Canis lupus familiaris: one gene and its partner. Each later gene encodes a partner of the first gene's protein in a complex. Links are inferred from orthologs where the notes say so. Each region holds a gene or a part of one and is shown on either strand. Other genes may lie near its edges. The genes, in order: BMP10 and ACVRL1.

Region 1 (4,355 bases):
AGCGGTTCAGCACCTGCCTTCACGTCAGGGCGTGACCCCGGGGTCCTGGGATCGAGTCCCCATCGGGCTCCCCGCATGGAGCTTTCTCCTATCTCCGCCTGTGTCTCTCCCTCTCTCTGTCTCTGGGTCTCTCATGAATAAATAAATAAAATCCTCAAAAACAAACAAAAAACAAAGCACTGGATGGAGGTGTCGCATTCTAGGCAGGGGAACGGATGTTAGTTGAACATATTTAAACGTGCCAGTGTTTTGCAAGCCCTGTTTTATTTAGATCCTACAATGACCATTCATTTCCGTCGTGTTCATTTTTACACCAGAAGAAATGGGGGTCAGTGCCGAGGACCGACTTCCCCAAGATGGCAAAGCGAGGGCAGCCGTAGGAGGAATTCAACTCGTGCTTTTTCTACCTTAGAAATGCACTTGTTTCCCCCTGACTAGTTACATTTGGGGAAGGTTTTTTTTTTTTTCTGGTTTGGCTTTGGGGGTGGGGCCGGGCGGGGCCGGTCTTTGTCTCCCAGGCAGCTGCACTGTGCAGACCCAAAGGGGCCAAAAGTGAGACCGTAAGAGCCACCGGGGCCACCGCCCAGGGCGGAATCCGCTCCTGCTTCCGCTGCTCTCCAGGAGTAAGACGCTCCGGAAACTGCACTGCCTGACCTCGGGCACGAAACCCTCCCCCGGAGATGCGGAACCTGAAAAACTCCTGTTGTCTCAGGGCGTGCGAACGTTGTCCCACCCGCACCCTGAGCCGGGCCCCCGGCGCGGGGCTCAGAAACGCCAGGAGGGCTCCTGTGGAGGCAGGCCACTCCTCTCCAGCGCAGGCTCACCCCCAAGAGGAATCTGCAATCTCACTCTTGCCATTTCCATTACGTGGCTAAAGGTTATTAGGAAACGTCCCCAACGCGTCACTGACTATCTACCATTGGGCCAGTTATCTAAATTGTCAAGGCAAACGGTGTCTCCGAGACTGAGCCATCCCCACTGCACATGTCCTCCGACGCCTAGAACTGAGGGAATTCCTGAGTAATATCTAACGTGTGTCCCCGGTTCACAGCAAATGCAGTGCTTTCCTACCCATACCCTCTTGGAGATCGCTCAGCTGTGTTACGTGCGCTTATTACCCCCAACTCACGGATGAGAAAACTGAGGTTCAGAGAAACCAAGCTAAAATATCCACAACTGCTGAATCAAGCCTGTCTCAAAATTCCAAACCCTAAGCCATTTCTTTGCTAGCACCTTTCTGCTTTTAGGAACTGCTGATCAACATCAACCCAAACCCTCTTTTGTATGTGGTCAATGACAATGGTAAATATTAAAGAATTCACTTCTTTGGACCCAGATCTTTTACCACGCACACTAGGGGAAAAAAAAATGTATTTTTGCCTACTGGCACCGTATTAGATAAAGGATTAACTTGCTACATCAGGCCGTTTAGTCACTGAATAAAAGCTGGCGGAGGGGGGCTAACCTGGTTTTCCTGCTGATATTTAAGGCTTGCACATTGCTATTCATGAAGACTGAAGTAAGGGGCATCATTAACTGGGCCGTGCAAACTTCCTGGACATTATAAACAGCGATTCAAGGATGTCCACGTCACACAACACAACAAAACTTTAGGGAGAACCTCTGAAATAGAAGTTTTCATCCTGTCTGAATACTTCTTAAATAAGGTCAGAAAATGGAAATACAATCAAAGCTTGAGTGAGGCACAAGTCTGGACTTTTTAGTTTTCACCTATTTTCACTCTAAGGAGAAGCTGACAATCTTTCGGCCAATTAAAAGACAAACCTGGAAAATGCCGGACAAAGGTAGAGTAGTACAGCAGCACTAATTTTTTGCATTTCTTGCTGTTCAAATTTAAAAATTTTAAAGGCCCGGTTATGAGGTCAGGATGGTAGATGCTTTACAGCTTTTGGTTAAAAGACATTCTTTGGTACCTTTTTAAAATTTTTTTAAAGATTTTATTTATTTATTTATGAGAGACACAGAGAGAGAGGCAGAGACACAGGCAGAGGGAGAAGCAGGCTCCACGCAGGGAGCCCGACGTGGGACTCGATCCTGGGACTCCGGGATCACGCCCTGGGCCGAAGGCAGCGCTAAACCGCTGAGCCACCCGGGCTGCCCTCTTGGGTACCTTTTAATAACATTTGGGAAACGACCATGAAAACGGTATAAAACATTTGGGAAACGACCATGAAAACGGTATAAAAACAAAAGATGCGTTGTTTTAGAGCATCTTTGTATGCACAGCCCCACACAGATGCACTCACCCTTAGCTGTATTACTCCCACAAATTGTGAATTTACTTAACGCTGCTCTCGGGGAAGAAAAAAAAAAATTCCGAGCCCAATTCCATCAATAACAGGTAAACTTACCTTCGTTCTTGAAACTCCTAATGATGTTGGCCGAGGGCATGGAGGTCCGATCCGTCGCAAATTTGTTGTAGAGTTCCAGCATGTACTCCGGTGGGTCCACCTTGGCTGAGTCCTGGGGAGGGATGTCGGATAAGTTCAGCGTCTTGAGAAACTCATTCTTCATGGTCTGCAGCAACGTGTTGAAGTCGACACTGTCTTGCTCCGAGAAGACATCGTCAAAGAGGGGCATGTCTTCTTCCAGAGGCGACTGCTCCAGGCTCATGATGGGGCTGCCAGAAACCGAGTGAGCCACCAGGCCGAAGACCGCGCACAGCTGCAGGGCCAGAGAACCCATGACTGTGCTCGAGCCCCCAGGCCAGCCCAGGAAGATTTAGCTCTCCTGGGCTCTAAGTGGCAGTTTTATCTGATGGAGCGTTAATGTCTCGTGTCACTGGAGACAAGTTTGGAAACTCTTCCCCTCTCTCTCCCTCCCCCTACCTCCCTTCCTCTCCACACTCCCCCCCCCCACCGCCCGCCCCACCAAAAGTCAGGTTGCCGTAATTGGATAACAAAATCCCCTATAGGGGCCTAGCCTTTCTTATCTCTCTAGTGTAAACTTGTGCACCAGATTTTGTTTCTATCTTGCGATCCTTTTTTCTTTTAATGAGCATTTTATAAACATGTCCACATTCTGACACTGGCTAAGAGATAGGACAATTTTCTCCTTGTGGAAGCTCTGCTTCTCTTCCTTTCAATTCACTTCCTTTTGGCAGGAATGCCTAAGTTCTGCTTTTATGTGGTTTGCTTTCACACATGCATGGAAGAGATACCGAGAACCAGCGCGATCCACGTCAACGGCACCACGGATTAGTTCAAGTGATGGGGCTTCCAGCTTCACGTCAACGTTTCTGAAGAAAGGCCGAGTATCCCACATCTCCGCGTTAGTCTAAATGAATTCACACAGATTTCTAGAAGTTTACATTTTTAGAAACAAGGAAGTATAAACCTCGTGGTCGAGGGCCTTTTTCATAACAGATTTGATCTGGCTTAAGTGGCTTTTGAAAAATAGGGTGAGTGTTTAATTATAATAGCAACTACAATCTATCAGGTGCTTTCCTATAAACAGGCATTGTGCCGAGTGCCTTACGTACATCACCACGTGTGCGCCCCCTCACAGCCCTGTTATCATGCCCACGGCACGGACGGGTCACTAAGATCCCATAACTTGCCGGAGGCCACCGAGCTACAAGGCGACAGAGTCAGGATTTGAACCTGGGCGTTCCGACTCCTGCGAAAAGGGAAGAACAATCAGACTTCGAAACCGGCGCTCCCCAAGCCTGGAGCCAGGACAGAGGGGCAGGAAGGCCGGGTCCCCGCCTCACCCCCAAACCCCACCCCCCCACCCCTGTGCATGCAGCCAGGAGGCAGCCACCTGCACTGCATGGGGAGCTCGCTGCATCCCAGAGCCGTGAATTACTAGGGTGGCAACGTCCCTGCCAAATCCACCTTCAGGGCCACATCCAAGCTGTCGGTGGCTCCAAGTAAAAGTCGAGCAAACAACATCCCCGGCAGATGAAAAATGCCAGGTGGCTTCGTCTGAGGAAACCGCGGTACAATCGGCTGTGCACCTGGTTTAGCAAAAGACCCATCAGGCCCATCTCGATTTCTACCCCGGGCGGTGGGGCACGGCGGGCAGGTGAGGGCGGGCAGGTGAGCATGGGCAGGTGAGGGTGGACAGGTGAGCGCGGGCAGGTGAAGGTGGACAGGTGAGGGCGGGCAGGTGAGTGCGGGCTGCGGCTGCTGCCAGGGATGCTCACACCCCCCGACCCTGCCAGGGCACTTCTTGCAGGTGGCAGGTGCCCGGCCCGGTGCTCAGAAGCGGCCCGAGGGCTCGGCACCCTGTAGTGCCCTCAGCTCGGAGCCACAGTTTCCGACGTTTACCCCGAGTGGGCCCGCTCCAGGGTCTCCGCTATCTCCTTCCCTGCAGGCTCCCTCCGGAGCCGT
Region 2 (4,273 bases), on another chromosome or scaffold:
AAGGGTCTGAGAAGATGGGGAGGGCCTGCGGGGACTTGCACGTACCCTCCAGCACCAGGGACACGTTGTGGTTGCAGAGGGGGCTGTAGCAGCAGTAGTGGTTCACGAACTCGGTGGGGCGCCCCCGGCACAGCTCCTCGTTCAGGTTCCCGCAGCCCCGATGCTCCTGGGGGTGTCGGCCCTCCTCCCGCACCAGCACCACCGTGCACCAGGTCCCCTGGCAGGTAGGCCCCCTGCAGTGTGGGCTCTCACACGTGCAGGTCAGCAGCGGGCCCCGAGAGGGCTTCACCGGGTTGCCTGGGAGACACACTGGAAGCTCAGCGCTGTGGGCCGAACTCCTGGGCGGGGCCCAACACCGATGTCTGACCCATTGCCCTTCCCTCTGACCTCTCAAACATACCCCTGAGGCCGTGGGCCTTTAGTCCCAGCCTCGGATGATCCTTCCTTCCAGAACCTTAGCCTCTGATACGATGATGAGAACCAGGCTTCGTCCTGTCCCAGATCCGAGGACCTTCCCTCCTGGTTCTAGGCCCGGCCCTGGCCCCTGCCCCAACCCTGAGGGCTCTCCTAGGCCCTCCCTGCCAACATCCCCATTCTCTGCACCCCCCAGATACAGGTTCCTACCCTGGAGGCCAGTAGGGCACCAGTCTGTGGGTTCAGATCAGAACATTGAGGGCTGGGGCAGCTGAGCCTGCCTCCCACTCTCCAGCCAAGCTCCTGAGTACCTCCCCAGCTCCTCAAATTCAGCCCCAGCAAGAGCTGACCCCAGCCAGCCCTTCCTCCATCCAGGTCCGTGTCCCCCACCTGCTTCCCTAGTACTTACCCTGGGTCAGGCCCCAGGCCATCAGTAGCATCAGAAGGCCTCTCCTGGGCAGGTCCAAGGTCATGGTCCCTGGAGAGGAGAGGGGGTTACCGTAAGATCCGTGAAATGTGTTCCCCTTGGTGTTTTTAGCCACCGACTGTGGGTTCCTCCCACCCAGAGGAAATCACTGGGAGTTTTGGGGGGGGGGCAGGGAGGCCTCCTCCCTACTCCCTGTGTCTGGCTTTGGGGCGGGGCCTGCAGGGGAAGTCCTGGTTCACTTCCCCATGGAAACCATCCTGTAAGGGGTAAAGGGTGGGGGAGCCATGTTTGAGTGACAGAGAGCTTGGGGGACTCCCAGCTATTTACCCCTGCTCCTGGGTTCAGACTGGAGGACACAGAGGGCACGGGCCGGGGTGGAAGGCACTTGTCTTCAGCAGTCCCCCCGCACCCTGTGTCCTCCGGCTCTTGCCCACCCCCCTCCCCGCGCCCCCTCCCCCAGTCCCCCCACCCCTAGCACTGGCTGCCTCAAACATAAACAGGCTCCTGTCTTCACTTCCTGCCATTCAGGGTCCCGCCAAGCTGGGAACAGGAATCAAGATTGTTTAGATCGGGGTCCGGATAGAACGGGCAGGAGTCACGCACAGCAGAGAGCTCAGCGTGTACTCTCAGGGCAGGCAGGGGCGCTGCAGGCTCTGGGGGAGCCACCTGGGGCTGCGACACCCCATGAGAGAATTCTAGGGGGACACCTTGGGAACCACAAAGGCCAACCCCTTATTCTAGAGAAGATGGAGATCAAGGCTTAGACAGGGCAGGAGACTCGTCTGAGGTCAGACAGGATTCGGTGGCAGTACCAGGAGTACGCCCCAGGTGTCCCGACTGCCAGGCCAGGGCTTTCTCCAGTCTGCCCCCCAATCCCGGGAGCACTGGGTCTGAGCCCTCAGGTTGTAACGACCATACAAACCCTGAACAGCGCTGGCTCGTGCCAGGCATGAGGAGACCCCTCTAGGCCTCAGCAGAGTGCAAGAGGCCCCCTGCCAGCCATTCCCGGCCCCCTTCCTTCTCCCTCCTTGCTGACCTGGGAAGGGCTGGGGGAGGGCCGGGGATGCGGGAGGGGAACTGAAAGAGAATTAAACACTGTTTGACCTTCCATGGCTGGCTAAGGTTGAACTTTTCCAGAAGTTTGGCGGAGAGTGTTAGGGAAGTAATTCTGATCTGTGATAGTCCCCAACCCAGGTCCCAAGCCGGCTAGTGCTCCAGAAGCCACATCCTTCTTCATTTCTCAAAGGTTTCAAACAAGAAGATAAGGTCTGATGCTGCAGCAAGGACTTTCTGAATGGTGGGGAGCGTGCAGGTGTGTCCCTGGGCCCCGATCCCCAGGCAGGGGCGGCTCTCGTGAGGGAGGGGGAGCGTCTTCTGGCCTAACCGTGAGCCCAGGAGGGCTGGCTGGCGGCCCCGGCGCTGCAGCAGACCCACAGTCTAAGAATGGTACCAAATGGAGATCCACGGGGCTGCGGCTCTGAGGGCAGGATGGTTGTTGGGGGGTGGCGTTCACGGGCCTCCCTGGCTGGTGGCAGCTCTGGCCTTCCTGCCTGGGCTTCCTCTGCCCCAGAGGCCCAGGGCCGGGGGAGGAAACGGAGCCCTGGGCTGCTGCAGCTGTGTCCCCAGCCTCTGCTTGACCTCCTGCCTCTTGCCCCTCCCGGCAGGCAGGCGGTGAGTACTCCGCAGACACTTAGCAGGGGGGCGGGTGGCTGGGGAAGGAGCCCCAGGCAAGGCGGATTTGCCCCCGGGGGTAGGCGGGAAGCCATCTGTGGAAGCCAGGAGAAAGCACGGGGCAGGAAGGAAAGGGTGGCTAACAGTAAGGATGGAAGCGGGCATCCTTTTCAGATCCTCTACCCACGCTTCCACCTCTCCGACCGTACCCCAGTGTACCCTCTTACCTACTTCATAATGCATCAGGAGCCCCTGAAGCACTTGGTTAAACATGCACATTCTTTGGTCTCACCCCTCCTTCCAAATTCTCATTTCAGTCCACCTGGGACCAGCAAGAATCATGCCTTTTAAAAAGTTCTCCAGGTAATTCTCATCAGTTTGCAAGGGTCCCACCGCTTGAGAAATGTGTCCTACACGGTGCTAAGTCTGGTCCAGTGAAATGTGCAGGGACCTGTTGGGTGAGGGGAGCAGAGGGCAGAGACTCTCCCTCCTACCTGGGCACCTCTGCACCCCCCCCAACACCCCACCTCCGTGGGCAGAGAAGGGACAGACGGGCTAAACCTGGAAGCCAGGGACCTGGAGACCCTGCAGGGGGGCCGGTGTGACGGCTTTGCTCTCAAGCTTCCCTAGACTGGGCCACCACGCTGGGAGGCCAGACAGGATTTGCAGAATCCGACTCTGGTCTAATCTTGGGAAAATGGGAGGAAAATTGTGACTCTCCAGCTTTTAAACGGGCCCAGCACAAAGTCAAGTACAGGAGGCTGCTGAGTCCTGACTAGTCCAAACTCAGAGCGTCCCTGAATGATTCGCCCAGACACCCGACTCCAGCACAGAGGCCTGGGTGGCATCCCTTCACTTCTAAGCAAAACTTCCTGAAAGATCTCCTGCTGACAGAAGCCTCACTGCCAGGATCCCTGGGTGGCTCAGTGGTTCAGTGCCTGCCCTTGGCCCAGAGTGTGATCCTGGGGTCCCGGGATCGAGTCCCGCATCGGGCTCCCAGCATGGAGCCTGCTTCTCCCTCTGCCTGTGTCTCTGCCTCTCTCTCTCTCTCTCTCTCTCTATGTCTATCATGCATAAATAATAAATAAAATCTTTGAAAAAAAAAGAAGCATCACTGTCCTTGGCCAGAAATCACAAATGCCAAACGGAATTTCAAATGTTAACTTACTACTGTGAAATCTTTAATAATAAGAATTAACCTTCTCTGGGGGCGCCTGGCGGGCTCAGTGGTTGAGCATCTGCCTTTGGCTCAGGTCGTGATCCTGGGGTCCTGGGATTGAGTCCCACGTCCAGCTCCCTGCATGGAGCCTGCTTCTCCCCCACCTGTGTCTCTGCCTCTCTCTCTCTGTATCTCTTATGAATAAATAAATTAAATATTTAAAAAGAAAAAGAATTTAACCTTCTCTGAATACTACTTATGTGCTAAGGACTCAGTCTTGATGGTTAATCTCATTAATCCTTCCAACAATCCAGTGGGGGAAACTGAGGCCCGGGATGTTAATTTTCTTGCCTGTAATCGCCACATGTGTCCCGATCAACTTAAATTGCTGGTAATAAATCCTCACTTGAATACTTATTCCTCCAACTCTTTGGTGCTCAGTGAGTCCCTCAAAGGAGGAAAAAGAGCAAGTGGGTTTTGTGGACAGTAACAGATTGCACACAGCTGCTGTCATCACCGGGTGCCCGATGCGGGTTTGTGTGGATGTGAAGACAGAAATCATCTGCTCACTGTAGGCTTAGTCCTAAGGGGGGAACCAGAGT

What was found.
Region 2: the proteins of BMP10 (region 1) and ACVRL1 are in contact, whole or in part, in a crystal structure (PDB 6SF1), measured with the Homo sapiens proteins. The link is inferred for Canis lupus familiaris from reciprocal best matches to the Homo sapiens genes BMP10 and ACVRL1. Residues at the interface, in NP_055297.1 of Homo sapiens: Tyr322, Asn357, Tyr358, Pro359, Ala361, Glu362, His363, Pro366, Thr367, Lys368, Ile371, Leu375, Leu378, Lys379, Ser381, Lys386; in NP_000011.2 of Homo sapiens: His40, Val54, Val56, Arg57, Glu58, Glu59, His66, Gly70, Asn71, Leu72, His73, Glu75, Leu76, Phe84, Val85, His87.

The regions. Positions count from the first base shown.
Region 1 is NC_049231.1:69,022,365-69,026,719, forward strand, and holds the start of BMP10 (bone morphogenetic protein 10), read right to left. Parts: upstream 2,808-4,355; 5' UTR 2,707-2,807; coding exon 2,373-2,706; intron 1-2,372. UniProt on the Homo sapiens protein: Required for maintaining the proliferative activity of embryonic cardiomyocytes by preventing premature activation of the negative cell cycle regulator CDKN1C/p57KIP and maintaining the required expression levels of cardiogenic factors such as MEF2C and NKX2-5.
Region 2 is NC_049248.1:43,566,859-43,571,131, reverse strand, and holds the start of ACVRL1 (serine/threonine-protein kinase receptor R3), read right to left. Parts: upstream 2,939-4,273; 5' UTR 2,792-2,938; coding exon 2,740-2,791; intron 1,288-2,739; exon of another isoform or gene 893-1,287; coding exon 824-892; exon of another isoform or gene 298-823; coding exon 46-297; exon of another isoform or gene 1-45. UniProt on the Homo sapiens protein: Type I receptor for TGF-beta family ligands BMP9/GDF2 and BMP10 and important regulator of normal blood vessel development. On ligand binding, forms a receptor complex consisting of two type II and two type I transmembrane serine/threonine kinases.